Xenopus tropicalis: one gene and its partners. The protein of the gene in region 1 interacts with the protein of each later gene in a biochemical or structural test. Links are inferred from orthologs where the notes say so. Each region holds a gene or a part of one and is shown in the gene's direction. Other genes may lie near its edges. The genes, in order: siah1, sncaip and hipk2.

Region 1 (10,706 bases):
AGTGCCTGGTTGATATATACAGTTGTTGATTTTATATATACAGTTGGTATGGCCTACTTGGCCTTTATTGGGGTTAAAGTCAGGACCAAGGAGGAAGCAGAGTTCAAGCAAGCTGATATAATCCAATACACAGTATCCAAGGGGTTAAAGAGTCTCTAGTTGAAATTCAGGCACAGAGCAGGGCAGGCAGTAGAGTTTTCAGAATCAAAAAAAAAAAATTTGTTGGTACAGTTCTTGGATCCATTATCCGGAAACCCGTTATCCAGAAAGTTCTGAATTACGGGAAGGCCATCTCCCATAAACTACATTATAAGAAAGTAATTTTTAAAAATGATATTATTTTTTTCTGTAATAATAAAACAGTACCTTGTACTTAATCCCAACTAAACTATAATTAATCCTTGTTGGAGGCAAAATAATCCTGTTGGGTTTAATTAATGTTTAAATCATTTATTAGTAGTCTTATGGTTTGGAGATCCAAATTATGGAATGATCCCTTATACGGAAAACCCCAGGTCCCGAGCATTCTGGATAACAGGTCCCATACCTGTACTCTTTTTTCCGCTTCCTGCAAAAACATAGCAGTTCTTCTGTCTCCTGTTATGACTAATGCTTCCATATACATTTAGGAACAGTGCAATAATCATTTAAGTCTTTTTGGAAGATCACAATAATGTTGCCATTATTTACATTGAAATCACTAGGTAGAAAAGGCTCTACCAGATGTTTTTATGAAAAAGCTAGTAGTGCAGCTTCTGTTTGTTAAATTGTTGGTTAGAACAATATTATAGATCAAATCTGCTTCATTCCTTAGCAGTTTCTTTCTAGGCCCAGAATGACAATCTGGAAATTCTAGTAATTGTCAGGGAATCTGGTGTAAGCTGCAGGCTATATATTCAGGCCTGTGTGGGGTTACACAGTTACATAGAAAATTTGGCATGAAAAACAGACCATCAAATTCAACCTCTCAAAGTGTACTTGAAATGCCAGTGCATATTTTGAATCTCAGTCTGGACATGTTTCTTCCTTTGTACATGTAAATGGTGGTTAGTTGTAATTGTCTCATCTAGATTCTCTTGTTAATGTCAGTGCAGGAGATGACATGGCAGGAGATGAGAGATGCCAGGTGAAAATTCATTGCAGTAATAGGATCTTGAGTTTCACACCCCTTAAATATGTAATTTGTGTTAATTCAAACTAGATACAAATGATATATTTAAACAAAATGCAACAGTAAAAATAAACCTGGGCAAATAAAGACCAACAAAATCACAACACACACTGTACATGTTCCTATGCACTACACCTACATACAATTTTGCCATGACTATGCCATCCTTCCTATCAACGGGAGGTTCCCTTCAACAAGCTGCTACATGTTCTGTTTGTCTGCCAAGTTTCACCTCTGCCCTGAGATTTGTATGGTGTGTTTAACACACAGAACATGTGGAAACTTTTACTTGATGAACTATAATCATTTGTTCATTGATTCCTAATTTGCATCAGTATGTTTACGCTTAACACTTCAGGGCTCTTTTATAAAGGAAAGAGCCTTTTCCTTGTTTTGTGATTATTTATTTTACTTTGTTGATGGAACAGAATGGGGTTTGTTCATTCATAGTTGAATTCTATATATCTGTGCTTTTAGATGGCCCTTTATTATGCAGTAAAACTGTTTCCAGTTCCATAAGAATTGGGAAAAGAAAAACACCGTTACTGTATAACAGTCCAGGAATGTAAAAAACTGGATAGTTTTAGTAAAACAGAACAACCACAGTTTCAAATGCTACAGTATACAGAGCTTGCTTTATTTTTTAAGGCATTGCAATTAACCTGTTTAAGTTTTTTGAAGACTGGATGTTGTATGTAATAAAGCACTGTTGGACTGAGCTTCCTAAGGCCCACCAAAATAAGCTCAATATCTAGGGCCTGCCTAAGAAACATTAGATAAAATACACTAATCAGTATTGGTGCAACATGAAAATATGATGGAAAATGGTTCATGAGTAGAGAACCACATTTAAAAGGAGACAGAGAGAAGATGGAAAGGCATTTTGGCATTTTACTGCCTATAGGTTAGCCACATTAGTGCCACCTAGGACTCTATATATTTTCTGCAGAAAGCTTTACCATACCTGAGTAAAGAGCCCTAATAGCTCCTTCCGTTTAAGATAGTAACTGCCATTTTAGCTTGGTCTTTGTAGCTTCCTGCTGCAGCTCTAACTGTAGCTCAGATCACACATTCCTAAGGGAGGGGGGAGTGAGTTATTATGAATTATTATGGGAGGGGGAGCAGGAGAAGGGAGGGGGAGAGGGAGAGAGGCGAGAACTGCACAGGTTTGTGCCCCAAACCTAAAGGAGCCCTAACAGAGAGGAAATCTGATACTGAAGAACATGTTTACAAAAAAATGAGACAGGTAATCTGTGTTTCTTTTGATAGAGGACTCAGTGTAACTTTTCTGTGAGTGCTTATGGCTGTATTTACATAGACCTTTCTGATACAGCTTACTTAGTTTTTACCTTTTGTCCTTTAACTTTTCAACAGCTAAGTCTCTGGTCCCCGGGACCAGAAGCTCAGTAAGCAGAAGGGCTACCGCAACCCACTTCCATGCCTGCACCTTACCTAAAAGTTTTCTCAGCAGGCCCCCCTGTACTGGCTTGTACTACTTTTAGTACGCAGCCCCCCAGAGTGTGTCTGGGGGGCTGCATGGCCTAGTGCTGAAGCACTATTGCACTTAATGCAGGAGCAGTTCTGTGGGAGGGAAGCATACAGTGGATATTAAAAATCTACACACCCCTGATAAAATGTCAGGTTCCTGCGCTGTACAAAAATCATGGAAAGTTAAATCATTTCAGACCTTTTTCCACCTTTAATGTGACCTATAAACTGTACCACTCAATTGAAAAACAAACTGAAATCTTTTAGGTGGAGGGAAGAAAACCAAAAAAACTAAAATAATGTGGTTGCATAAGTGTGCACACCCTTAAACTAATACTTCGTTGAAGCACGTTTTGATTTTATTACAGCACTCAGTCTTTTTGGGTATGAGTCTATCAGCATGGCACATTTTGACTTTGCAAGATTTGCCCACTCTTCAAATCTGTCAGATTGCGAGCGCATCTCCTGTGCACAGCCCTCTTCAGATCACCCCACAGATTTTCAATCGGATTCAGGTCTGGGCTCTGGCTGGGCCATTCCAAAACTTTAATCTTCTTCCGGTGAAGCCATTCCCTTGTAAGAAAAGGCTTTCGTCTTGCCACTCTACCCCATAGCCCAGACATAAGAAGAATACAGGAGATTGTTGTCACATGTACCACACAGCCAGTACTTGCCAGTCCTGCAGCTCCTTTAATGTTACTGTAGGCCTCTTGGTAGCCTCCCTGACCATTTTGGAGGGACGTCCAGTTCTTGTTAATGTCACTGTTGTGCCATATTTTCTCCACTTGATGATGACTGTCTTCACTGTGTTCCATGGTATATCTAATGCCTTGGAAATTCTTTTGTACCCTTCTCCTGACTGATATCTTTTAACAATGAGATCCCTCTGATGCTTTGGAAGCTCTCTGTGGACCATGGCTTTTGCTGTGGGATGCGACTAAAAAAATGTCAGGAAAGACAAACTAGAGCAGCTGAACTTTATTTTGGGTTAATGAGAGGCACTTTAGATCATGGCAGGTGTATACTGACTCCTATTTAACATGATGTTGAATGTGATTGCTTAATTCTGAACACAGCTACATCCCCAGTTAGAAGAGGGTGTGCACACTTATATGCAACCACATTATTTAAGTTTTTTTGGTTTTCTTCCCTCCACCTAAAAAATTTCAGTTTGTTTTTCAATTGAGTGTTACAGTTTATAGGTCACATTAAAGGTGGAAAAAGTTCTGAAATGATTTATCTTTGTCTCATTTTTGTACAGTGCAGGAACCTGACATTTTACCAGGGGTGTGTAGACTTTTTATATCTACTGTATATAGTCATGGTACATTAATTTAATTTTCACTATGTTATATACTCAAAGTATATAGATATATGGTTATACCTTCAAACCAAAGGAAAGCTCCAACATAATAGCACTTTGTCAAATAGGCCAAATACAAAGGAAGCAGTAGCTATTAAATGGTATTCTCTTTTCTATCATAGGTTTAAAATCTTGCAATATATTACATGGGGATGCTCCACTGAAGTAAAATTGTTGCTGATTTTTGTATACACACTCCTCGTCTAGTTAGTTTTGAATCATATGAAATTTGGCAACAACGGGAACCAAATTTCCCAATTATCTTATATGTTTATGACATTATTGGGGTAAATTTCATTTTCCTTGTTTCTTCTATTGATTGTATCCATTCCCATTTCATTGGTGGAGGGTTTTTTCAATTTCCTAGGAACCAGTGTGCTTGCTGCTTGTAAATACTAATTTGTCTTGGACTATTCTTTTATTTACTCTAACAGAATAATGTTGATTCCATATTGTTGACATTATGAACACCTTTCTCCATCATGCCTCTGGCACTCAGAATACCATTTTTTTTAGACTGCTTAATATTTTTGGCACATGTGCATGTGAGACGTACAACGTGCTGGTGCGTTTTGTGCTCTTTTAACCCGGCACTTCTTCAGGCGACCTAAAAAACATTTTTTCCTAAAAGGATGTTATTTTTGCAATATATTATATGTATATCTATCTATATATATATATATAGAGAGAGAGAGAGAGAGAGAGAGAGAGATACACAAGACATACATTAAGACCATTGATTGCAAAAACATGGTCAGTGATGTCAACTCCATATTATAACTATGGGGCTTCCCTAGTGAGCAGGGCCTGAGGGCCAGTTAGGGCCCAACTGGGACAGATGTCTTTTTGCTCTTCTAATAATTCCTTGAGATCAGTTAGGGTGGGATTTTAAGTAGTCACTGGCTTACTGTCTTAGATATTACTGGAAACGTGGCTTTGATTAAGGCCCCGACCAAATGTTGCACCTTATTGAAATACCCTTAAAAATGTATTACACGATACTAATTCAGTCCCGTTTTTTTTTATTATTTTTGCGTTACGCTAAGAGTTAACTTAAAATAATGAATCGAAAGTCCCTTCAATGGTTCATTTGTTCCATAAAGCAGTAAGGTTGGCAGGCATCTGCTAACGACGACCGAGAGAGTATATAGATTCTTACAGCAGAACAAGCAAACAATTGCCATTTACCCGTGCAAATTGTTGGTAGGCGTGGTATACGCAAGAGGGCGTGGCTTTCTGCTCGACCATCTGAGGGCAGCCTAATCCGTGGCGGGAGCGCGCCGTGTTAGCGCGGGAGCAGTGACGCCACTCTTTGTGCCCGCGCACGCTCGCTCCCTCTGCAGTGTCTTTCTGTGGAAGTAGGGGGGGTGCGCGCACTCGGAGTACGGGGGACGGCGGCAGCTCCACAGAGATAAGGAGTGGGAAGCAGACCCGGTAAAGGAGCCGTCTTACCGGCGATAAAGGATTTTGTGACCTATCTTCCGGTATCCTGTGAGTGCGATAATTGGTGCGTCACAGTGGAAGCCGAACAGGAAGCGGCATAATAGCAAAGCGGATTCCCTCCTGGGGAAGGTGAGCGCGGCCCGTGTTCTATGAGATGGCAACACTGCATCGGGAGCCAGGATAGCTAAGCCACGGCCCTTCGGCTTTTGTCGTACCATGCAGATCGGGGATGCTGGGAGTTATGGTAGAGCTACATTTGGAGGGCCGCAGGTTGGACTCCGACGCTGTGTATAAATCCTGTCTCTCAGGCGCCCATGGGATAATGCACGGCAGGAGGAGGGGGTGGGGGAGCCCATATTGCTGTGTATGTGGGGGAAGGGTTAATGGATGTTTCCTACACGTGTGGCTATGACATATGTTTGCATACAGAGAAAGTGGCTGGCTGCTGCAGACCCCGACCTTTCTCTATTTGTTTTGTGGCTTTTTATGCAAATAATGTTGGCAAAAGGATTATATGGGTGTCTGCTTATAATGGTATGACATGGCAGCCCCATTGCTGTGGGTTTCTGCTCTTTCTTTCCTTCTGTCAAATACTCCCACATTGCATCATCAGCCCTGCTGCACTTGCACCTTATGGGTGTTCGGTGTTGAAGTGGCAATCTGGCAGCTCTGTCTGGCTAATGTAAATAATCAACACACCCTAACCGCATCATCAGCCATTTGTTAACCCCGGTCATTGTCCCTGCCTATGTAGCAGCCTGTATTGTTGCTTCTAGTGTTATTGTCTTGTTGCCAAACCAAGGCCTGTGGCCTAATCCCTCCTGTGTGTTTTCCCCTCCCCCTTTCCTGATCTGTGTCCTAATTCCCCCCCCCCCCCCCCAGAGAGAAATCACTCGCACTATAGCTGCCTTCCGTTCAATTGTACAAATCAAGGGGGTGCTGCTTCTTGTTGCAGACAATGCTTTTTTTGTGGATGTAGTGACATGTGATAGTTGCTGTGTTGTGAATCCTGGCATTTATGAATCCCCCCCCCCCCAGCTCTTGTACTACAATTCCCAACATTTGGCTGGAGTTGTACACCTATTTACATTATTTCCTTGTTGCTTATTATGGTTTAACAACTAGAGGAGGGGTTTAAGCGGACACCCTTAATTTCTTTCTCATAATTAATTATTTTTCATAAACACATGATTTCCAAAACATCCAATGAGAGTTGCATCCTGGGAATAGCACGGATTTAAGTGTAAGAGATGATGATGATGTACCTAATGCACAGTATCCTAGTACTCCTGCCCACATGTCGAAAACAGCGGTATTCATGTTGAGTTCTTGCGATGTAAAGGAATTTTTCTTTACAAACATTTCAGTTGTTGAGTGGTTATACCCTCTCTTTCGATAGCAAGAGTTATCAGTGCAGCCGCTAAGTGTGATGCATCCGGTCATAGCCTTGGAGTTGTTGTAACTGAGGAAGCACAAATGATTTCATTTATAGGTGATTGTTCTGTTTACTGTTTGTGATGCTGCTTAATTACTATAAATGATGCAACATTTGTGGCTTAATGAATTAATCCTCTGTTTTTAGATTGTCTGTTCAACAGCACTCGGATACATGCTTCATTAGGGTACGCACCTTTATTGTATATCTCTTCTTCCTTATGCAGCTCATTTTAAAGATTAAGTGATAAAGATGAGATGCAAAATGGTGCTGCTAACACATTTTTTTTTTTTAATGCTGTATTGAAAATATTTTTTGCTTTAGAGCTTAGAAGCTACAAAAAGCAATACATTTCTTAGAGCTGGTGGGTAGGAAGTTGTGTTGAGGTAAGGGATCTATTTTTTGGATACCCATTATTCTAAAAGCGTTGACATTACACAGTTTCCTCCTCAAGCAGACGGTTACTCACTTTTGATGGATTTGCCTTTCCTCTGCAATAAGACTATAACTGTTACTTGATTTTAAGCTAGCATAAATCCATGTTGGAAATCAATTCTATTAGTTATTTAATGTTTAAAGTGTTTTAAACATAAGGCCATGGTGCCTCATAGTGATAAAACACCCCTTAACCTGGAAAACTCCAGAACTATGAATAATCAATATTAATTCTCAAATGTATTTCTCTTCTGGTGCCCTTTTCCATTTTGTTTACAGTGAGTTTGTATTAACTATTTGCCTAGTGTTTTGTATAGGGATGCATGGAAATTAGCAATTTGGTATTCGTCCGAATCCCTTAATTCTTGGGTATGGATTCACCCAAACCTGGAAGTTCCCAAAGATGAAGTTGGAAACACCGGTGTGCACGCTTCGTGTACAAGGCAAATTTTCTCCACCAGATTAATTTTGGCCAGACTGCTAAAAGTAGCCAATTCAGTGCATTCCTAGTTTTACTTAAGATTATATATTGTTTTTGTTAATCTCTTAAAAGGAAGAAGGTTGTTTAATAAAGAGCTCCTTATATGTAAAGTTGGAAAGGGCTGGCCATGTTTTAGGCTGAGGGTACACAGAGTGTTTCCTCTCCTGCTCTTAGCCTGAGTTTTTTTTTTTTCTGGTTTCGCATTTTCAGATCAATTCTTACTCTGCTCTACTTTGTGTAGCTGGGCAGAGGCGGAAGCTGCACTTGTCAATGCAGTTTTACTGAGGTGCATAAGGGAGCGGATCCACTTCTGAAATAAACACAGTTTTAGGTAGAAATACTCAACGTGTGCCTGCACCTGAGCGTATTCAATGCTTTTTGGTGCAGGCACAAGGAAGGGCAAGCGTAGGGCAAGCGTAGGGCAAGCGTTTTTCGGCTTGCTGAGAATACGCAACGTGTGGCATTAGCCTTATGTGAACTGTTTATTATAGGGTAACATCAGCTGTTTACATTGCACACGCATGGGGCTTGGATAAAATGTTGGTACTGTATGCTTGTGTTCATGTGGGGCCCCAAAGTTTCTGATGGCAAGTCGCCGGCGGGATGGCAGACGCGGCGGGGCGATTCGCGCGAAATCGCTCCGCCGCATGTGCCATCCCGCCGGCGACTTACATGTTCGCCGGTGGGATGGCAGGGGTAGGCAACTCGGGGAGATTAGTCGCCCGCGAACAGGGAGTTAATCGCGGGCGACTAATCTCCCCCCGTGTGCCAGAGCCCTTAGCCCTACAGAGACCATTCTATCTTAAAAAAGCAAACTCCAGATTCCAAAGGGGGGATAGGGGGGTGGTAGCACAGCTTAAAACTACAAAATATATACACACACATATACCTTTTAAAAAAAAAAAAAAATGAACATATGTATGTATATAAGTGTATATTGATGCAGCCAATATCTGCCCTTTGTATGGGCACCTTGAAGGTGTAAATGATGTTGGAGGCATTGGCCACATTGTTTCTAGCAGGGACCCTAACCAGTAATAGTTCTGCCTGTGCTAGACAACAGCAGTGTGACTTATCTAGTATTGGCATTCAGGATCCTCATAGAAGCACTTACTTGTAACTGCAATTAAGTTTGTGATTCCCAGTTTATGCAGATATTAGACTGGTTTTATGTTAAGTTTAAATCCCCTTGAAGATAGAATTTTATGTTGTAAGGGGGTTTGCTTGGAATCTTATAAGCAGCCACCAGAAAGAGTAAAGACTATGGGTCACTAATGTCCACTCCATGTGCCATTGTTTGTCCAAGATAATCTGTTTTTTCATCCACAATCCCATTATTATATTATAGGATTACATGATAGCTTTTCACAGTTGCTGCTGGAGGGGTTTCCATGATGAGTGATGCTTTGAAAATAGTAAAAGTTTACCTTATTGCAACAGTCCCCAACCAATGGTTTGTGACATGTTGTCCCAGTGTCTTAAAAACAGGTGCCCATTTGTAATTTTTTAGCTTGGAGATAAGTTTGGAAGCACAGAGAGACATTTTTACTCCAATCAGAGCCTCCTGCTGTGGCAGCAGTGCACATGGAGCTATCAAGTAGCCAATCACAGCCCTTATTTTGCATCATCAAGGACCTTTTTTTTAATGCTTTTATGACTCGCCAACACTTTTACGTCTAAGCAAGTCTCACAAGTAAAAAAGTTTGGGGATCCCTGCCTTATTATATGTATGTTTATTATGTTTATGGCCCAGCTTTATAATTTACTGTATATCTTGATTGGTTTTATTTCTTTTTGTCTGTGCATCAGTTCAGATTTTGCCTTACCTTTATTAAGCAAATCGGTTGCGGGAGTGTGTAAAACAAAAAGCACTGGAACACTGTGTAAAACATAAATTTAAAAGAGAATGGGATGATTTGCAAATTGTTTATATCCTATATTCAATTGAAAATAGTACAGAAACAACATATTGTGTAGGAACTGATGCCCCTTCTGGTACCATTACATTTGAACTGTGCTCTGATAACAATGAGGATGGCCCTTAATTTCCGTGATGGCATCCATGATTTCCAAAAAGAATTTCAAATTCTTATTTATCAGAATGTCTTGCTGGATGGTACAGATGCATGGTAGAGTTTTTACTTGCATTTAGTATTTCAGGCCAGATATCGGTCGGGCAGGCCCGTCGTTAGTGCCTATACATGGGCCGATTAGCTGCCGAATCGGTCTAAGGGACCGATATTGACAGCTAGAATCGGCCCGTGTATGGGGACCTTAAGTGGCCCAGCCTCTCTGGGATCTGCTCTTTTTGGCCTTACACCCTGTCTTTTGTTGCCTCTGTCTCAATTTTCTTAAAAACATGTTAATGGCATTAAATTCAAAATGAGAATTTGCTTTTCAGCAACACTCCTTGGTTTCACGATATGTTGTCTTTGTACTACTTGCAATGCAATATAGGGTTTAAATGATATGCAACTCAACTTTTTGCAGTGTTCCAACTAAAAAAACTGTTTAATCCAATATGTTAGAATCCATGATAAAAATATTTGTGTACATTTTAAATTAGTATTATGTTTTATTGAGTTTTATTTGTTGATGTTGACTAAAATAATATAGTCATTGTAAAGCAATTATGTATTCTCTTGGTTTTTTTAAGCAGTATCCAATGTCAATTATATTTAGACCTGTTTACCCATAAAATATAACATTTTCCTTATGTGCCATTTTTTTCTCTTTTTGGTATAGTTTGTGGGTTGGATGTTGCCTTCAGGAAGAACGGAGTGCACAGGACAAGAAATCCAGTGTAAAATAGAGGTAGGGCGAATGAAACATGGAAAAAAATATGTGGAAAAAAAATGAGATAGATTTTAGAACAGTAATGCTTTTATGC
Region 2 (10,126 bases), on another chromosome or scaffold:
TTTGTAACTTTAAAAAGCCAAATTTGACCCTTCTAGTGCAAAGAGTGCAACTGTACTCTTTACAGTAGTGATGAGCCCCTGCTTCAATGCAAAATAGGTGAACACAGGAGGGTAAGGGGGCAGCAGCCCATAAAGCAACCTTGTAATACATGGCTGATGAGCTGAGCTTGAGTCAACACAAGCATAATATGGAATTTATCACAGGAAGAGTGCTTAACTCTAGAAACACTAGAAAAAAAAGGTCTTGGATAGATTGTGTATTTTCCCATGAAGTTTTTGTGTGAAATTTTGAAGTGCCATAATTCCTTGAAGATTTAAATATTACACACACATTTTGAAGTCCCATAATTCCTTGAAGATTGAAATATTACACACATTTTGAAGTCCCATAATTCCTTGAAGATTGAAATATTACACACATTATTGTGAACAGGTTCTACATTTGTAGAGTTATAATGTTTCTTTGGATCTGTCATGCTCTCATATTTGAAAGCAATTTAGTTTAGAGCTATTATAAAACACATCATTGTGTGTTATAAAAACGCATAAGGATGGTCTGTTAGCCCAATAGCTGCAGTTAAGCTACAAGGGAATTTACTTTATCACAGTGTTTACTCAAGAATCACATTTCCAGTCTACTTGACTTGCATTGTGCATTAAATTGATAACTGCAATGCGCCTGTTACATTATGTGTATTAGCAAGTGAACGCGCTCTCCAGTTTGGAAAATGAAATATGGAGTCTGACTCACACCCTGACATTAAAATATCACATACAAATACACACAAACTATTTATCATGTAACACACCAATAATAAAATGAGGTCTAAACTTTAACTCTGTCTGTGCCAGCAGCCAGACCTTTAATCTGTGTTGCAAGTTGCCAAGTAAACAAGTGCGCAGCATAGTTCAAAGAGCAGAAATGTCAAATCTACAGCACTACGGCCCCTTTATTTGAGCACTATAGATTCTACATTCTATGGCACAGAGGGGGGTAAAGCAACTTTGTTTCCTGAGAATGATTATGTCATCTACAAAAGGAAATCCAACTGTAAACATATTGTAGAAACGTGTGAAATCAATAGAAATAATAAAGTGCAGTGTAGTCCTATGATTTATTACCATTCTGCCTTAGATAAAACCTGTTTATGCCGATATCCATTTATTCATGTTGCTTTGACTAATTAGTTTTCATCACGTAGCTACATACCTCACACAACTACCCTGCTAGTATTTCATCTTCCCAGCCGATCCTTATGTGGGGTGTGAGAGTTTAAATTGATTCAATCTGATAGTATAATTGAATTGGCTTCATTAAGATGACTACAAGATTAATGGATAGGAACCTTGAATGAAACCTGTGGGATTCTCTATTTGATCTTTAATAATTAAGCTTATCTTTCTATATTTATAAATAATACCTTATTTCTATGCTGTGTTCTAGTATTTTTGTTACCTAGGTTTTCATTTTTATATTATATAGGGATGCACTGAATAAATACTGAATCCTTGGCAAAAAGATCCAGCCAAATACCAAACTGAATCCAAGCCCTAATTTGCTTATTCAACTTTAAGCAAAATCCTCAGAAGTTTGTATCATCTAAAGAGATGTGTTGCTTTTGGCTATTCAGTGCTTGAAACCAAATGACTTTTTGATTTGGCTCTATTTGGTTTTTCTAATAATGAAGAAAAATCTACTTTGGCAGAAAAGTCCAATAGTATGGTGCTCCAATTGCGAAGAATTTTTTCTACTTTTTCCAGGTGTTTAAATCTTTAAAAAAGTAACAAAATGATGCACCTTGAAATTTTTTGCATGCGTTTATATAGTCGCAGGGGCAGATTTACTAAAACGCCAAGATTTCTCAATTTTTTTTTACATCAGCTTACATTCTGTAAGTTTGGGTAGTCAAGAAATCAGAGATCCTTTTGACTAATAAAAGGAAAGAAATGTACAAGAACAGCCTCAGTAAATCCTTTTAAGGTCATTAGTTCGTTAGGCAGGAACCCATCATTTAGAAGTTGTTAACTTGTCTTTGCCGTTATATCACCAATGTGACTGCAAACTGCAACCACCTGTTTCAGCCTGTGCATCACCGAAGTAGGAGGATACATTGTACAAACAAAAGAGAAATAGTGAAGCTGTTGTGAACACATTTGCTAAAAATGACCATAATAAGTAGGCATTGTGTTGAAATGACATTCTAATTATAGTTTTAATTTAAAAAAACAACTTATTTTCCTATTTTTTTTTTGTCAACTCTAAAGTACTGATTTAAAACTTTATAAACAGGTTAATTTATTCAGAACAAACCCCTTCCTAGCCTTAGGGACTCTTGGTGGACTATTAATAAGTTTTATCAGCTCCTGTTATGCCCTACAGGATCAGAAGTGCTAGAAATAATGCAAACTATAGGTATTTTGTTATTAAAACAGCAGCCAACAACTATGTTCAGCACAAACCCTATTCATTAGATCATGTTGAAAAGGGGTGCATGCTGTCTCTTTAATTAAATCTTTTAGGGTAGGGTCACATAGGTGAATTGTCAGCTTGCAGATAAACGCAGGCTGACAATCTGCCCATACACTTAAACATTTTTCTAGCTGTGTCCGGGGCCAGATTTGATAACTGGGCACCCCCATGACCACCTCCTTTCTACGCCCACCCACCTCCTTCTTCCTTTCCGCGCATGTGCACCCACTTAGCTCACATACGGAGCAGTGGGGAGAGGACATGCTGACGTTTCTGTGTGTCCGGTCTCCATTGCTCTGTTTGTTTCACTGTGGCTTGGGCGGCATGCTGCCCTAAATTTGTGCAGGGAAGATCACAGAGTTCAAAACAACTTGACATGCTCCATGATATTTTCTCATAAACTATAGGAGCAATTTGAATTTATCTAGTTTGCCTCATAAATATTAATTGGCTTTAAAATGTAATTACTTTTACTGTTTATAGCATATATTTATCAATATATATGATATTTGGGATTCCTTATCAGCAGGATTAAATTCACAGACTTTTAGATACTCTTAAAAAGTAATTTGTCTCCAAAGTTTTAGCATGATAATTCTATACTTACTTGTTGGCTAATTTGTTGGAAATCATTACTTTACTTTTAGTAAATTCCTTCTAAAACATCACATTATTAAATAAAGCAATTGTTCTGATTGCCCTGCATAGGCTTTTCATACAAGCCATTGTAAAAGTTGCTGTATCCCTACATTTTTCCTAGCTTGAAAGACTAAATACCCCTAGTATCAAATTTCCACCAGAAACAAAACACATTTTATTCCAGCAGAACAAGGCATAGTTTTGTTTATTTTTCATACAGGACCCACCCTTAAAAAAAATCACAAACATTTTTGTACTCTCTAAGAATATTGAGTTGATGCCTAAAGCTGCCCATAAGTTTATTTACCATAGAAGAACAGGAACAGGCCTGGTTCAGCAGCCATAAGAAGGGTAGTAGAAAATACTGTCACTTACAATTACATTTTTATAGTTTTAGCTCACATATTGTCCTATATATATATATATATATATATATATATATATATATATAGACCAAAATAATCCGACAAGGAATCCACACTCACACGACTTATGTGCAAAAAAAGATTTTTATTTGGAGAACAAAAAAAAATTTTTTTTGCACATAAGTCCTGTGAGTGCTGATTCCTCGTAGGATGATATTGGTCTCAATGATTTGTATGGACTGCACCCAGGTTGTCTGATTTACTTTATCGTGAGTGCCGACTTTCTAATGTAAAGGATCCGTACTCACAGGACTTATACACTTATTGTGGGGGAGACTAACAATTCGGCTAGCACTCTAGCCTTTTTCAAAGTGACAAATACAACAACCACAGTGTCTAAAAAACATTCAGTAAACAAAAATACACTCACAGTTCCCCGTAGTAAACTCAGTCCGTTATCCGTTGGTGCACCTGGCTAAGTGCATATAGCAATAGGCAAAAGAAAGGAAGAGGAAATGCATACAAAACGTTTTGCTCGTGTAAAAAATACTGTTTATTGCGGAGTGCACATACAGACTGGTCGTATGTGTATATTTCCTCTTCCTTTCTTTTGCCTAAAAAACATTCAGTGTCGAAAAGGAGTGAGAATATATATATATATTTATTTATTTTTGCTTTACAAAATTCAGAGTAGGGTTACAATGGCAGATATTTTTGGAATAAGAAAGAATAGAAAATGGTTAGTTGCAGTATTACCTATAGGTTAAGCCATCTTCTGTAATGTCCTATGGTAGCAGAGAAGATTCAGGGCTCATTTATAAACACTGGGTGAATTTACACCTGGACAGGAACCTGCAGAAACCAGTGATTATGTTTTACCAGCCAGCTGCGTAACAATTAAGGCAGACTTCTGATTGGAAGTAACTGCCCAGAGTTTAAAAAATGACCCCCACTAGAGTTTCCCCCATTTTTCTCTTGTATTTCACTTCAAAAGGTGTATAGTTGAGTTGTGATGTCTATTTAGAATATTTTATCCAGGCCCAATGATTTGACATAATTACAATGTACCCCATAAATAATTTGAAGGGAAATGTCCTAAAATGTTTGTCTATAAAGAAAGAAACTTCACACATATATTTTTTTGGTTCATTTAATGTGAATGTCTTTTGAAAGCCTTCCTAAATAATGATTTGTTTTCATGATATTTTAGTTTCCAGCACAAATTGGAGCTGTGGAGTGTCAACTCTTATTGGAAACACACAGAAGCCAACAGGAATTGCAGATGTCTATAGTAAATTCAGACCAGTGAAAAGAGTTTCCCCACTAAAACATCAGCCAGAGAGCCCTCAGATCAATGAAAGTGATGACCAAAAAGAAGAAAAAGAGGAAAACCAAAAGAATGGTGATCCAGATAAGTCCAGCACCACAGAGAACATTCCTGCTGATGATGGGGGCTATAAAACTAAGAGTATTGAAGCAAGTGTTTTGCTTGGTGAAATTGAACATTATGACTTGGACATGGATGAGATTTTGGACGTGCCTTACATCAAATCCAGCCAACAGCTCAGTCTATTTACTAAGGTTGCAGCTGAGAAAAGGACTTCAAATATATACCCATTGGTCAAAGGAAAAACTGGGACTATTGGAAACGTAGAAAATTTATCATCAAACGGTGCACAATTTTGTGTGCTATCCCCTGTTAAAAACCCTGCCCAGCCCTCTGTCCTTGATCAGAACAGGCATTCATCTGGGGGATTAGAGCTTTCTCAGTCTGGTATTCAAAGTGGCTCAGTCCATGAACCTGAATACCAGAACAAGGGCTTTCTTAACAGGACTTTGTCGGATTCCCATGCACAGAAACTTGAAAAGAATATGCCAAACTGCCAGCTCAGGGCTTTCCATCTGCAGGGAGCAGCTACCGACACACAACTGGATGGAATAAATGGTAATCTCAACTGGAACTTTTCTGAGGAAAGAAGTGAAGATATGAAGAAAATAAAAAGCATAATAAACATTGTTAAAGAAGGCCAAATATCTTTGCTGGTGAGTCAAAACTTTTTCTTTAATGTTTGTTTTTGAGGAGGCAGAAGAATTTTATGTAGCAAAGACTGCAATCTGCAGACTGTTTGCAAACAAAACACAAACACTTTAATGGGAACTGAATCTATATATATGTATGTATATATGTGTAGGTGACAAAGAGGGGAAACAGGGAGGAGTAGTTGGGTATAATTTGATGCATATGTTGTAGCTCATTTCCGCAAGAACCAACAAATTTTCGTCATGATTAATTGAGTTATTTATTTATTTTTCAATATGTTTACACTGTGTCAGCTTTGAAATAGCTTTCATTATCAATGCAAGGAAGCCTGGCTGCCATCAGCTGCTTGTCATTGCTCACCGTGGGAACACCGGCCTGCCTCTTGTCCTTCAATTAGTATTCGGAGGAACTTTTTTGCCAGCACTTCACAGCACAGACTTCACAGGCAGAGGCTGAGCATAAAGATAAATATCCCCCGACCCATGCAAAGTGTTTTGCTAGTCAAAGCTTTGCTAATTAGGAGCCATTATTATTGGTTACCAAGTGACAAATAATAGCTTAAAAACATGAAGCAATTCATGCAGCCTGGTCTTTTACATTACAAAATAACATGCATTTCTAGTGCACATTCTAAACCTGTAGCCTTATTCTGGCTTACTCTTTGCTGACAGTTATACCTAACGTGTACGGTTATATGTTGGGCCTCTCTGTTACTCTAACCACAATTACTATAAATGCTCGCCAGGTTGGAGTTAATTAGGAAAATATGTATTACCTGCTGGATGGCACCAGGCATTTTATGTAAGTTTGTGTTGGTTTTTGCTTAATTTTGTGGTCTTTTCCATTAGTGCAAAGTTTGTTAACAAAATATAATTGATTTCATGTATATAATGGCATTGTTTATACAATGGGACCTAGGCTATTCATTCTTTGTGCCTTTAGATACATGTCCAATTAATTTTACTGTGTGTCATTTTCTACTGGTATGCAACAATTAAAAAGGTACTTGGGCAATTCCTGCAATGAATCTCCATTAGGGCATGGCAAGTCATGCAATCAGAGAAGAGCAAGCCATTTCCTAGACTATACTGCAAATACATTATAGAGGGAATACCGTACCCCCTGTTGTAAATCATTGAGGAATTCCAACACCACATAGAAGATCAAGGCCACAAGCCGAGTGCTTTTATATATGAAACTGCACATTTTAGTTTGTCATGTGACATCACAAAGCACAAAGCAGAGCTGATGACTTCGTTAATCCCTGTTTATAATAACATTTTATAGATTATTCATAACTCTTGTGTGTAAATATACATATACATGCAGGTATGGGACCTGTTATGCAGATAGGATTGTTTTGCCTTCAATAAGGATAAATTATGTCTTAGTTGGGATTAAGTACAAGGTACTGTTTTATTATTACAGAGAAAAGGGAATCATTTTTAACATTTTTAATTATTTGATTAAAATGGAGTCTATGGGAGATGGCCTTCCCGTAATTTTGAACTTTCTGAATAATGGGTTTTCCAGCTAATTGATCCCATACCTGTGTATGTATATATATATATGTATATATATACATAAGTGAAATAAATGAAATCACATCTCAAGTTTAAAGACTTTTCCATGATTTACAAAAAACACAAAGACACCTGCACTGAATCAGTTGACAAATGTAATTTCTTGACTGCTATAAATAAAATTTATGTGCGTTGATTCTGATGACAGATGTGCTGTTGAACCCTCCGGCACTCATAAGATTATATAGTATTCAGGGAAATTCACTATAAGTTTAATTTGTTAATTTGTGCAACTGTCTGGAATATAGCTTTGAAACGATAGTAGTGAAACCTTCCAAGGGATTTTAGCACTTGGTGAAACACATTATAGTCCAAAATGAATAACTATAAAAACCTGACACAGTCAGCTCAAAATAATGTTACCAGATTTCCACTTGAATGGAGATTCTTTTGAAGAATCATAATGTTGAACTTTATAGTACCATGTTTAACGCTTCACGTCCCACATGGTGTAGAATACATGGCGTTGGCAAAAAAGGACCATCTTGCAACAAGATTAATAGAAAGGGGTTTTATCAAAAGATATCTATCAAAGTAGTTATTTTGTGCAAGTGGTAGGTTGGACACTTGCTCTTCAGAATTACCATAATCATAAAATACTAGTATCCTAAAAGCACTCTTTAAATAAAGTTATACATACTTACATACTGAGCAGCTGTTGGGAATTGGGCTTTTATTTAGGCTTTAAGAAGGTAATGTTAGTCTTTGTTCTCCAGAGACTTCTAAATCTGTGCTGATAGATGGTAGTTTGGTTCTTGAAATTTCATTATTCTCCAAAAAAACTTAAATATCATCTATCACCAAATATATTAAAGTCCCTGGGGCCAAGGCATGTTATTTTAAGCAAAAAGTAAAAGTCTCAGGGCAAGACATATTGTACTCAGCAGAAATAAATGTCCTGGGGGAAAGACATATTATTTTTAGCTAAAATACAAGTCTAGGGGAAAGGTATCTTATGCTCATTTAAAATACAGGTAAGCCCAGATAAAGGTATAGGAGCAACTATATGATATATTTTTCTCAGCTATAATAAAAATCTGGGGCAAGGCATATAATTCTTAGTATGGAATCAAAATATACTCTTAGCAACACATTGTTCTTAGCTAAAATAAAAGTTGTGAGGGAGGGCATATTATTTTAAGTAAATATGAAGTTCTTGTGGTACAGCAAATTTTCCTAATTAAATGTTTGGTTCGAGGGGTATTCTGCCAAGAAAAAATAAAAGACTGACAAAAACAAAAATCATTCATTAAAAGGAAAAATTAGAATTTTGGGGGCACCACTCTATGATTTCCTGCATCTGTAAGTAATGCTGTGGAAAGTATTTGTACCTTACCTATAAGCCAATTTAGCCCTCTACTGTGAGCATTGGTGGAATCATTCTGTACCTAACCTCTTTATGGATAATTACAGTCTAGAATAGTAAGTCATTGTTGGAAATATCATTAACAGTATTCTTGGAATAATGAGAGTTTATTCTGACTGGACAGTGTCCCAACTAGGCACTCAGCCTGCCTTCCTGTAATTATTATATAGCTGAGTCTACTAGTGGTGTGGGCTGCAGATGTTGTACTAAGTAATAAGTGATAAAAGGGAGACAGACAGAAGGCAAGCCAACCTGTCAGCTTTCCAGAAAGAGATTGGCAACGGCTGTCTGCAGATGCTAATGGTGCTGGCTATTTGACATGTCTGTGCTATCTACAGGAACACAATGTGTTGTTTTATTGGGTATATCACCAGGCACCTCAGCCATTCTAAATGTGTATCTTAATTAGAAAAGCTGTACCATGCTGCCATATACATTTACGTATATTATATTATTAAATATACTGTTTGAAGGAAGGTCCAACCTGTGGTCCTCTGGCTGTTCAGCTACAACCACCATTATTATCCCTTGACAGGTGGGGAGGAATTCAGAGATGCCATTTTGTTTCTGCATTCTTCATGTATTCTTTGGTTTGAACGATGGTTTGTATTTTTATAAATCTTTGAGTCACAGTAGCGTCTTCTCTCTTTCATTCTTGCATAAATAACATTCTACCTGACACAGGTATCAGCTTGGGAACTATTATATAGGTTGACTCTGTGCATTATTGACCAAAGATTGTAAAACTTAATTTAGCAGCAATGAATTCCCACTCAGTTTTATGCCTTTATATGTTTTTTTCATCATTTTGCATTACCTTTATGCCATTGTTTACAGCACTGACAAACAGGTTTGCCTTTTATACACAAACATTTATAACAAAGGTAATGGCTGCCATAATGCAGATCCATCAGAAATGTTCATGAATTCATCATATTTTACTGAGAGCTGTTTAAATGCCAGAACATCTTGGCAAGCACACTGCTCCATCTCCTTCTCTTATTAAAATATGATGTTTTAACTGGAAATCTTTCTTGGTTTGCCTTGAAATCAGCTTTAACTAAAGAAATACAGCAAAAACTAGAACATATTGCCTATTGTGGCTTTTTGCTCCAGATATGGTAAATTTACAACATATATAAAGACAGATTCTTTCCATAAATTTTTCTGCAATGATAGTTGTGCTTTTCCTTTGTTCCTTTGTACAGCCGCACATTGCCGTTGATAATTTGGATCAGATCCATGATGAAAATGGAAACAACCTTTTGCATATTGCCGCATCCCAGGGCCATGCCGAATGCTTGCAGCACCTTACTTCTCTCATGGGCGAAGACTGCTTGAGTGAAAGGAATGATGAGAAACTTACTCCTGCTGGCTTAGCAATAAAGGTAATTCTTGTTTGGTCGCATTGTGCTGGCAAACAGGTCAGATCGACACGGTAGATTTTTGTCTTTAATTGACCCATAGGAACTCATCATGCAACAGCTCAAGATTTTGTGGCATCCTACAAAACCTTCATATTCCCTTCCAATTGTCATGTTGGATGCAAAATCCTAGTTGTTAATAGATCAGATTTTATTAATAGCCATGTGTACCTACATCTGACATATAGGATGTGATCTGTTAATTCAACCACATCCAACAAACACTACTAGTTGTACT
Region 3 (10,666 bases), on another chromosome or scaffold:
GCTCTAAACAAAAAGGTTGCCTATGACCTACGGGGCAGTTGCAACTACTGGTTATTATAGGGTACCCCCGGGTCGCCATTAGTAATCATGGGGGCCATACTAATCACACATACAATAGGATTACACTTAATACACCTTATAGTGTTTCTGCCCCAGACTCACCTGTACAGGTAAGGGGAAGTTAGACTGGAGAATGGAACAAAAAGAAGAGAAGGGAAGGGAAGTTATGGTGAATAGGATAGAGAAGAAGAAACTAGAGAGGGGGTTGGGGGAATCAGCAATAAATGCACCCAGCAATCCTATAACATGGATGGGGTGAGGTCCAGAAATACAGTTTCTGGGGCTTAGATATAAAACACTATGGGCCGGTCCGAACACCCACTGCACCCTTGTTTTCTCCCTATCATTTCCCTAAAATGTGTCCCATAATGTTTCCAATATGGACCAAGAGAGGCTGCACAATGCAGTGGGGGGGGGACAAGTACTGGTCTGGTTTTTAACCATCAAACTCCTTTGTACAAATCCCGCCATAGGCATCTATTCACTTGTAGATCCCAGCATTCTCAGCCAGCCAGGCCAGCAAGTCTGACACTCTGTTCCTGATTATCCATTCTGCATTCCTGGGTCAGCAGCTGAGGGGAACCACCTATGGAAAGTGGGACTAATGGATGGGGGGCACCTATTATTATTATTTATACCATACTATTTTCAGCTTTACGGCAGTGTTTTGTCAGGGTAGGAATGGGCCGGCGGGACACCTGGAAAAAGCCTGGTGGGCTCTGCTAACTCAGCCCCGATCCCCACCATTGGTGTTCCCCTCTGCATATCCCTCCCCTGATCGCCCCTAGGTAAGTATGAGGGTGGTGCAGATGGTGGGGGCCTCTGGGGTGGCATCCCTGTAGGGCCCTGTACACCCCAGTCCGACCTTGCATACAGTACATGGGTGTATAACATGGAAACATACATCAAGTGTACAAATATACCAATGATAGAGGACCCTGTTATAAAGAGCTAACAATCTAATACAACATTAGCTGCAATGCCTCCCCCCCCCCAAAAAAAAAACACTCCCATATTCCTGCTGTATCCTGTTAAAATAATAACTGCCAAGGTTCTGGCACTGCCCGGGCTCAGCATAACTCTGTATTAATGATTAAACCCAAATCCAAGAATCTGAAGTCACAAGGACTCTGCAGGTATTTGGCAACACAGGGAAGTACATTTGCTTTTTTTTCCCACCAATGTCTGACCCGAGGTGCCTATTCTGCCTTCCCTTAGTTGCCATATAGATCTATGGCTCATGTCACATGGAATGGAACAATGCTGGGGTAGAAGCAGTGCATCAGGCTCCCTGCAAACTGATTGGCCGCACTGCAGTCTCAAATGGGGCACTAGGAGGCAGAATGAGCTATTTCACCCCTGGCAGAGACATTACATTACATTAACATTTATTTATAAAGCGCCAACATATTCCGCAGCGCTGTACAATAAGTGGGTTACATACATTGGACATACAGAGTAACATATAAAGCAATCAGTAACCGATACAAGAGGTGAAGAGGGCCCTGCCCAAAAGAGCTTACAATCTACAAGACACCATCCTGGTTGGCATTAGCTTATGGTGCAAATATTAAAGCCCTGATGGGAACCAGGGTCGGACTGGGGGGTGCCCAGGGGCCCTGCTGGTGCCCCCGCAGGCCGCGTACCCTAACTCCACCCCCCCGCAGGGGCCCCCCACCAATGTCCTCCCCTGAGCTCACGTAAATTTAACGCGTCAGGGGAGGAATGGTCAGGCAGAGGGAGCGCCGGCAAGGGTTGGGTCTGGGCCGCCCAGTCTGACCCTGATGGGAACTGTCCTTTATTGGGGTCCCCTATGACAGGGGCCTTCCTAAAGATCCTATGGTATTTTCTAACTAATAGTCAACAAAGTCTATATTCCCCCTACCCAACACTGGGGGGCGCTAGTTGGGTTTTGCATATAAACCCAGTGCCTTATTGTAAGGAGCTGGGACAGGTCAGCGCCCCACACTGGGCACCACAAGAACTGAACTTTCTCCATAGTCAAGAGGTGATTATAAGATCCCCAATCCTTACTCACCTACATCGGCCCCTGGGGACCCTACCAATGAAAATGCCTTGAAGGGTCAGGGCCCTCTCACCCCCACAGGCAAATGCTCTGCTCCAGTCCTAAAGCCCTCCAACTGGGACCTACTGGGCTAAATGCTATCAAAAATGTCTGTAGCACCCCCAAACTAGGAAATAGAAATGGTAAAAGGGGTATATTTCTGGTGAGAGAATATTCCATGGCAGCGGTGGTGGTGGTGGGGGGGGGGGGGTGTAGGAATATCAGGAAGAGGCAGCAGTAATTACAGGTGTAGTGTTACACAGAACTCAAGCCAAATTAATCTCCTTGCTGTCAGCCTCACCAACAGGCCTGACTGCCACATTAACCCTTGCTGCATTGCAGGGCGGCGTCTAAAAGGTTAAAAGGCCAGGACTGTTTTAAGCTGTTATGTTCCTATTGGCTAAAACCTACCCAAACTGGTCTCTAGGTTCACACCCCATGGCGGTGGTAACAATTCGGGGGTATGGGAGGGAGCCAAGGGAGACAAAAAACTGGTTGCCTTAGTTACTGGTGAGAATTTGGGGGCAAATGACAATAAGGGATATCCATAATGAAGGACACCATACTACTGGGTGCTGCTGTCAATGGGTTAAACTGGTGTAATATGTGGTGCACTTGCCCTTTATTTAATCAGTGTTTTGTTACAGATTGAATTTTTAATACAATGGGGATCAACAGTGCCCCCCCCCCAGTGATGCCAGTACAAGGGGGAGCAGGCAATGCCTCCGTGTGCTTTATTATTCAATTATCAATTAATCGGGGCCCTAAGGGCATAGGTTTTCTAATTAACTTTCTGGGACATCTATGGGCCCCATCCCAACTCCATAGGGATCTATAAGGTGCCAGTAACACTCTATACCAGAACCCTGATTCTCTTTAGTGTTATGTAGTAACCCCCACATATCATTCTATTTTCTTTTTATAAAATATGAAAAATATTTATATTATTAAACAATAAATATGAAAGCCAATTATGTATAAATATAACTGGTATTATGACACAGTCAAACAACAGTTTCACTATAAAGCAGTAGTTAATGGGGGGGCAGGGTAAAATATACTGAATAAATCAGGGGTGTACAACCTGTGGCTGTTAATGAGCAGCCCCCCCAGTATGCCTTGTAGCCTGTGGGTGGGATGTTGAGGGTTAAAGAGCAGCCCTTATAGGATATACACAATATAACAGTATCATTTTCCCTTTGTTCTGTGTTTTTCCTTTCCATGAAGCCCAGGACTAATAGTCTTGTAGAGTGTAAGCTCTTTTGGGCAGGGCTCTCTTCACCTCTTTTATCGGTTATTGATTGCTTTATATGTTACTCCTTGTAGAGTGTAAGCTCTTTTGGGCAGGGCTCTCTTCACCTCTTGTATCGGTTATTGATTGCTTTATATGTAAAGGTGGCCATACACAGGCCGATTGTAGCTGCCGACAGGGCCAGAACTAGGGGTAGGCAGAAGAGGCAGCTGCCTAGGGCGCAATGATTGGGGGGCACAACGATTGGGGGGCGCAACGATTGGGAGGTGCAACGATTGGGGGCGCAACGATTGGGGGGCGCAAGGCGGGAGCCTCTTCTGCCTACCCCTAGTCCGTGCTCCTTTGTCATTGCCCCCGCCACTTGTAAATACGTGGTGGGGGCAATGACCCATGGCACCCCCCTGGGTTGCCTAGGGCAACTGGTCGGCCACGCCCGCCCCTGGCTGCCAATATGGGTCCCTTAGACCGATTCGGCAGTTAATCGGCCCGTGTAGGGGCACTACCTACGGGCCTGCCTGACCGATATCTGGCCTGAAATCGGGCAGATATCAATCGTGCAGTTTCAAAAATTTAGTCGGATCGGGGACTGCAGCGACTCATTGATGCGCTCCCCGATCCGACTTCGCCTATTACTGGCACTCTAATTCGATTGTTTGCCCCCAGGTCCAAACGACCGAATTAGCCTGGATTCGCCCGATATCACCCACCTGTAGGTGGGGATATCTGAAGAAGATCCGCTTGCTTGCTAACATCGCCAAGCTTAAAGGTCCCCATACACGGGCCGATTGTAGCTGCCGATATGGGTCCCTAAAGGTGGCCATACACGAGCAGATCCGCTCGCTTGGCGATGTCGCCAAGCGAGCGGATCTTCCCCCGATATCCCCACCTACGGGTGGGCGATATCGGGGAGCATTTAGGTAAAAAAAAAAATAATCCAATCGTTTGGCCCTGGGGCCAAACGATCGGATTATGTGGGCGGCAATGGGGCAGTCGGATCAGGGACCGCATCAACGAGCTGATGCGGTCCCCGATCCGACCGGATTTTCTAACCTGGCCGATCGAGATCTGGCCAATTTCAGGCCAGATATCGGTCGGCCAGGCCGCTCTGCCCTGCCCATACACGGGCCGATTAGCTGCCGAATCGGTCCAAGGGACCCATATCGGCAGCTATAGTCGGCCCGTGTATGGCCACCTTTAGACCGACTCGGCAGCTTATCTGCCTGTGTAGGGGCACTAACGACTGGCCTGCCCGACCGATATCTGGCCTGAAATCAGACATATATCGATCCGGCAGCTTAAATAATTTAGTCGGATGTGGTCCCCGATTCGACTTTTTCTATACCCGTCGTTCTGTTTCGATTAGAACCGAATTAGCCTAGATTCGCCCGATTTTGCCCACCTGTAGTACACTTATTGTACAGCGCTGCGGAATAGGTTGGCGCTTTATAAATAAACGTTAATAATAATAATGCAGTCTTGGGCCTACCCCCCAGCCCCAAGAGCTTGCACTTCATAAAACCTACCCAGGGAGCTGGATAATGACTGGGGAGATGACCTCTTTCAATACCCACCCCCAATACAAACACAGCAAGGCTGCCTCCCCCCCCCCCTCTCCCATTGCACCAAGCTCCTTTGTGACTCCATGAAGGGTTAATAGGATCCCCCCCTCCCCCCCTTTTACTCCTGATTGAAATGTGTTGGTTAAACAGAAATCCCACACAGCCTCTCCAGCAGAGGAGAAGAGGAGAAGGGGAGGGGGGAGACACTTTGAGAAAGTACAGCCTCTCCCCGCCCCCCCCCCCCTCCCCATTGGAATCCATGCGATCGGCGCTCGATTGCTCCGCGAAGGCAGGAGAAAGAGACACACAGAGAAGGGATCGCACCCCCCCCCCCCTCTGCCTTTTTCTCTTTCCTAAATGCAACTTTCCGTGCAGCTCGCTGGGAGGCTGGGTGCGGGGGCTCCCTGCATGGGGGTGCGGACTGAGGGGAACACAGGGGGCTGGAAGGCTGCCCGGGGGGGCTTCTAATAGCTGCCAGCAGGGGGGCTGCGTTGATTAGAAACAATATCTGCATTTACCCCCCCCCCCCCCCGCTCACCTTCCAGGGCAGGCCACTGGCGTTCCCGGTGCTTATTGGGGTGCAGCGGGTAAGATGGGGGAGCAGCCGGACCTGCAGCGGCTCTGACTGACTGATCAATGCGGGAGGCGGACGGGAGCCGGCAGGGTCACAAGCTTGTCCCCCTATTCTCTGTGGGGGGAGCCCCAAAGCGCGTCCAGAGAGGCCCCCGGTATGGCAGCGGTGGAGAGACCCAGACTGCGGTAAGGAACAGCTGAGGGTGATTTTCTAATTCCAACCCCCCCCCCTTCCCAACATTGGGAGCCCCCCGTGTTTATCATTTCCACACCCTGCCCCCCCATCTGCAAATGGACCCTTCCATACTTACCCCTGCCCTGCATTGTGTCTGCCCCTAGAACCCCCTCTGTACCCTTGCCCCCCTATTGCCCATATGGAATATCCTGCACCCCCTCTTCCCCTAGAACCCACTCTGTATCCTTGCCCCCCTATTGCCCATATGGAATATCCTGCACCCCCTCTTCCCCTAGAACCCACTCTGTATCCTTGCCCCCCCTATTGCCCATATGGAATATACTGCACCCCCTCTTCCCCTAGAACCCACTCTGTATCCTTGCCCCCCTATTGCCCATATGGAATATACTGCACCCCCTCTTCCCCTAGAACCCACTCTGTATCCTTGCCCCCCCTATTGCCCATATGGAATATCCTGCACCCCCTCTTCTAGAACCCACTCTGTATCCTTGCCCCCCTATTGCCCATATGGAATATCCTGCACCCCCTCTTCCCCTAGAACCCCCTCTGTATCCTTGCCCCCCTATTGCCCATATGGAATATCCTGCACCCCCTCTTCTAGAACCCACTCTGTATCCTTGCCCCCCCTATTGCCCATATGGAATATCCTGCACCCCCTCTTCTAGAACCCACTCTGTATCCTTGCCCCCCTATTGCCCATATGGAATATCCTGCACCCCCTCTTCCCCTAGAACCCACTCTGTATCCTTGCTCCCCTATTGCCCATTTGAAATATCCAGCACCCCCTCTTCCTCTAAAACCCACTCTGTATCCTTGCTCCCCTATTGCCCTATGGAATATCCTGCACCCCCTCTTCTTCTAGAACGCACTCTATATCATTGCCCAGACGGAATATGCTGCACCCCCTCTTCTCCTAGAGCCCACTCTATATCATTGCCCATTTGGAATATCCAGCACCCCCTCTTCCTCTAGAACCCACTCTGTGTCATTGCCACCCTATTTCCAATATGGAATATCCTGCACCCCCTCATCTCCTAGAACCAACTCTGTATCCTTGCTCCCCTATTGCCCATATGGAATATCCTGCTCCCCCTCTTCTAGAACCCACTCTATATCATTGCCCCCCTATTTCCAATATGGAATATCCTGCACCCCCTCTTCTCTACCTCACCTCAACACCAAATTCTCACCTCTATTATATATATATTGTTATTATACGGGATATGTTGTATATATTCCTCTGTCTCTACTTATACACCCACAGGGGCTGCCTGTAAATAATGGGTGTGATAGGGCGAGGGGTTAAAAATCTAAACTGAACTTGAGTTTTTTTTCTCCTTGGTTCTGTAGGAAGGATGGGGGGGGGGGGGGCTGCCATTGTTTTATTATCTTAGTTTGGCCTTGAAAAAACTAGTGTGTGTGTATATAGGTAAATATATATATATATATATATATATGTATGTGTGTGTGTGTGTGTGTATATATATATATCTCTATCCCCAGCGCCTCCCTCTGTGGCTCTGCAAGGGTGTAGAATGAATTCTCATTAACTCCTTGACTCCCAGCAAGGCACAATACAGAGGAATCGCTTGCCCTTGCCTTGTTACATATTCACATAGAAACTGCCCAGGATCTATTTCGAGAGACTGTTACTCGGGATAAAGTTCTTATATAACAGGGAAGGGTTATTTATTAACTGCTTTTTATGGAAGTGCCATAAAGCGATCCCTCCCCGTGTGACAGGCCACTGGGCACAATGTCGGGGCTGTTTTAGAACATACCCTTCTTTAGTACATTACAGCGCTTAAGCAAAAAATAAAACCCCATATCCCCGTTTAACATGTTCAACGCCGTACGGGTTTCTGCTGCAGTGGCTGCACAATTCTGCGGCTTTGCGGTCTGCGTCAGTCCGACTGCAGCGAGAAGCAGAGACAAAAGATTATATTATTATATAAAAAAGCCTGCACCAGCGGATCCCACAGCCCAGTGCTCTGTCTGGGTGGTTTTAGAGGAAGATTTTGACTTCATAGAATTCCTGATTGGGTGCCCCCTGCTGGCAGTGAGGAGGAACCCACCCCCCCAACCAGGGAGCCCTGATTTATTTCCGACGAGCGCCCAAATCTGAATTATTATCAATATCATGAAATGACTGTTCCATTTGTAAAGCTTAACAGCATCAGCTCCCCTAGCTTTGGGGCCCAGGCAGAACCCCATTATTTTATAAAACAAATTCCGGACCTGAGTTGATGCACAATTCCCAGCGCCCCTGGGAACAGCGGGGTTTCAGGAACAGATGGGGCTGCAGTTTTGAAAGCTGTAGGATTGAGTGTTGCAACCCCAAACCGTGGGCAACGCTGCAGTTACCCCTACTAGTATTACAGAAGCTGCCATGCCATTAACTTGGGGCTGCCGTACATGCTGCTGTGCTATTTTGGCCCCTGCCACTGTTGGCGCTAAAGTGCTGTTTTCTCTGCTGCCATTGTAGGGGGTAATGCAGTATTATTTTTTCTATCACCCCCACTTTCACTATAGGTACTACTATACTATTATCCCCAATACTACTGTCATTTGCCCCCTACTGCTGTAATCTGCCCCCTACCACTATAGGCACTGCTGGGCTATTATCCCCAATGCTGCTGTCATCTGCCCCCTACCACTGTAGGCACTGCTGGGCTATTATCCCCAATGCTGCTGTCATCTGCCCCCTACCACTGTAGGCACTGCTATACTATTATCCCCAATGCTACTGTCATCTGCCCCCTACCACTATAGGCACTGCTATACTATTATCCCCAATGCTACTGTCATCTGCCCCCTACTACTATAGGCACTGCTATACAACTATCCCCAATGCTACTGTCATTTGCCCCCTACTTCTGTCATCTGCCCCCTACCACTACAGGCACTGTTATACTATTATCCCCAATGCTACTGTCATTTGCCCCCTACTTCTGTCATCTGCCCCCTACCACTACAGGCACTGCTATACAACTATCCCCAATGCTACTGTCATTTGCCCCATACTTCTGTCATCTGCCCCCTACCACTACAGGCACTGTTATACTATTATCCCCAGTGCTACTGTCATTTGCCCCCTACCACTATAGGCACTGCTATAATATTATCCCCAATGCTACTGTCATTTGCCCCCTACCACTATAGGCACTGCTATACTATTATCCCCAGTGCTACTGTCATTTGCCCCCTACCACTACAGGCACTGCTATACTATTATCCCCAATGCTACTGTCATTTGCCCCCTACTACTATAGGCACTGCTATACTATTATCCCCAGTGCTACTGTCATTTGCCCCCTACTACTATAGGCACTGCTATACTATTATCCCCAGTGCTACTGTCATTTGCCCCCTACTACTATAGGCACTGCTATACTATTATCCCCAGTGCTACTGTCATTTGCCCCCTACTACTATAGGCACTGCTATACTATTATCCCCAGTGCTACTGTCATTTGCCCCCTACTACTATAGCCTCTGCTATACTATTATCCCCAATGCTACTGTCATCTGCCCCCTACTACTATAGATACTGCTATGCTGTTATCCTCAATGGGCACTGCTGCATTATTATTACTACTGCCACTATAAGTGCTACTAACCCTCTGCCACTGCTGTACATCAGTAATGACTCTCTGGGGTGCATTGGCAGTCCTTATATATCTATATATAAATATATAGATAAGCAAAAAAAGAATTACATATTTATTTGCCTTGAGTGCAGAACTTTTTTGTGCTTATTTCTTTATTTTTTTGAACCAGGGCAGATGATTTTTACTGTGTGTGTGTGTATATATATATATATATATATATATATATATATATATATATATATATATATATATATATATATATATATAATGTGTATATAGAGTGAGAGATAATTCTGTAGTTCTACTGAGCAACATTATTTTCTATATCTTCATGGATAATATTATGGGCCCAATTTATAAAGATTGAATTTAGAAAAACATTCATTTTTTGGTTCAACTGTTCCTATTACCTCTATTTTAACTATTTACAAAAATATAATCGGTCTCTAGCAGCTCCCACTAGGTATCAGAATAGCTCTCAATAGTAAGAAATCCAAGTCCGGCTTGGGACTCCTCCAGTTACATGGGAGTAGGGGAAACAATAGGTTAGCTGAAAGCAGTTCTAATGTGTAGCGCTGGCTCCTTCTGAAAGCTCAGACTCAGGCACACTTTACTGCTGCGCTGCAAGTTGGAGTGATATCCCCCTCCCCTCACCCCCAGCAGCCGATCAGCAGAACAATGGGAAGGGAGCAAGATAGCAGCTCCCAGTAGGTATCAGAATAGCACTCAATAGTAAGAAATCCAAGTCCGGCTTGGGACTCCTCCAGTTACATGGGAGTAGGAGAAACAATAGGTTAGCTGAAAGCAGTTCTAATGTGTAGTGCTGGCTCCTTCAACAATTTTAGTCCAAGGAAATATCTTATCCATGAAATTCTTCATTTTCAATCATATTTACAGAACAGTTCCGAGTTCGACTCTTGTTCATAGACTTTTTTTGAACACCGTTTCAGTTCTGTAGACCTAGCAAAAAAGAAGTATTTCCCGTGAAAATTGACGGAATGTAAAAGACAAGAGAATTTTTTCCCAGGCACAATTTCTAATACATTTTTCTAGAGCAACCCTTTTTGATAGACTTTTTGACCAGCATACAGGTATGGGACCCTTTGTCTAGAATGCTTCGGACCTGGGGCTTTCTGGATAAAGGATCTTTACGCTATACAGGTACTATTTTATTATTACAGAGAAAAGGGAATCATTTAACCATTAAATAAACCCAATAGGGCTGTTCTGCCCCCAATAAGGGGTAATTATATCTTAGTTGGGATCAAGTACAGGTACTGTTTTATTATTACAGAGAAAGGGAATCATTTAACCATTAAATAAACCCAATAGGGCTGTTCTGCCCCCAAT

The links.
Region 2: the proteins of siah1 (region 1) and sncaip form a complex in vitro, tested with the Homo sapiens proteins (2 studies listed by BioGRID, with this or other methods). The link is inferred for Xenopus tropicalis from reciprocal best matches to the Homo sapiens genes SIAH1 and SNCAIP.
Region 3: of the proteins of siah1 (region 1) and hipk2, one has a biochemical effect on the other in vitro, tested with the Homo sapiens proteins (4 studies listed by BioGRID, with this or other methods). The link is inferred for Xenopus tropicalis from reciprocal best matches to the Homo sapiens genes SIAH1 and HIPK2.

What each region holds. Positions count from the first base shown.
Region 1 is NC_030680.2:74,030,993-74,041,698, forward strand, and holds the start of siah1 (E3 ubiquitin-protein ligase SIAH1), read left to right. Parts: upstream 1-5,385; 5' UTR 5,386-5,594; exon of another isoform or gene 5,595-5,735; intron 5,736-7,052; exon of another isoform or gene 7,053-7,087; intron 7,088-10,561; 5' UTR 10,562-10,630; intron 10,631-10,706. UniProt on the Homo sapiens protein: E3 ubiquitin-protein ligase that mediates ubiquitination and subsequent proteasomal degradation of target proteins.
Region 2 is NC_030677.2:169,649,060-169,659,185, reverse strand, and holds part of sncaip (synphilin-1), read left to right. Parts: intron 1-4,684; coding exon 4,685-5,517; intron 5,518-9,672; coding exon 9,673-9,852; intron 9,853-10,126. UniProt on the Homo sapiens protein: Isoform 2 inhibits the ubiquitin ligase activity of SIAH1 and inhibits proteasomal degradation of target proteins. Isoform 2 inhibits autoubiquitination and proteasomal degradation of SIAH1, and thereby increases cellular levels of SIAH.
Region 3 is NC_030679.2:7,972,126-7,982,791, reverse strand, and holds the start of hipk2 (homeodomain-interacting protein kinase 2), read left to right. Parts: upstream 1-5,212; 5' UTR 5,213-5,695; intron 5,696-10,666.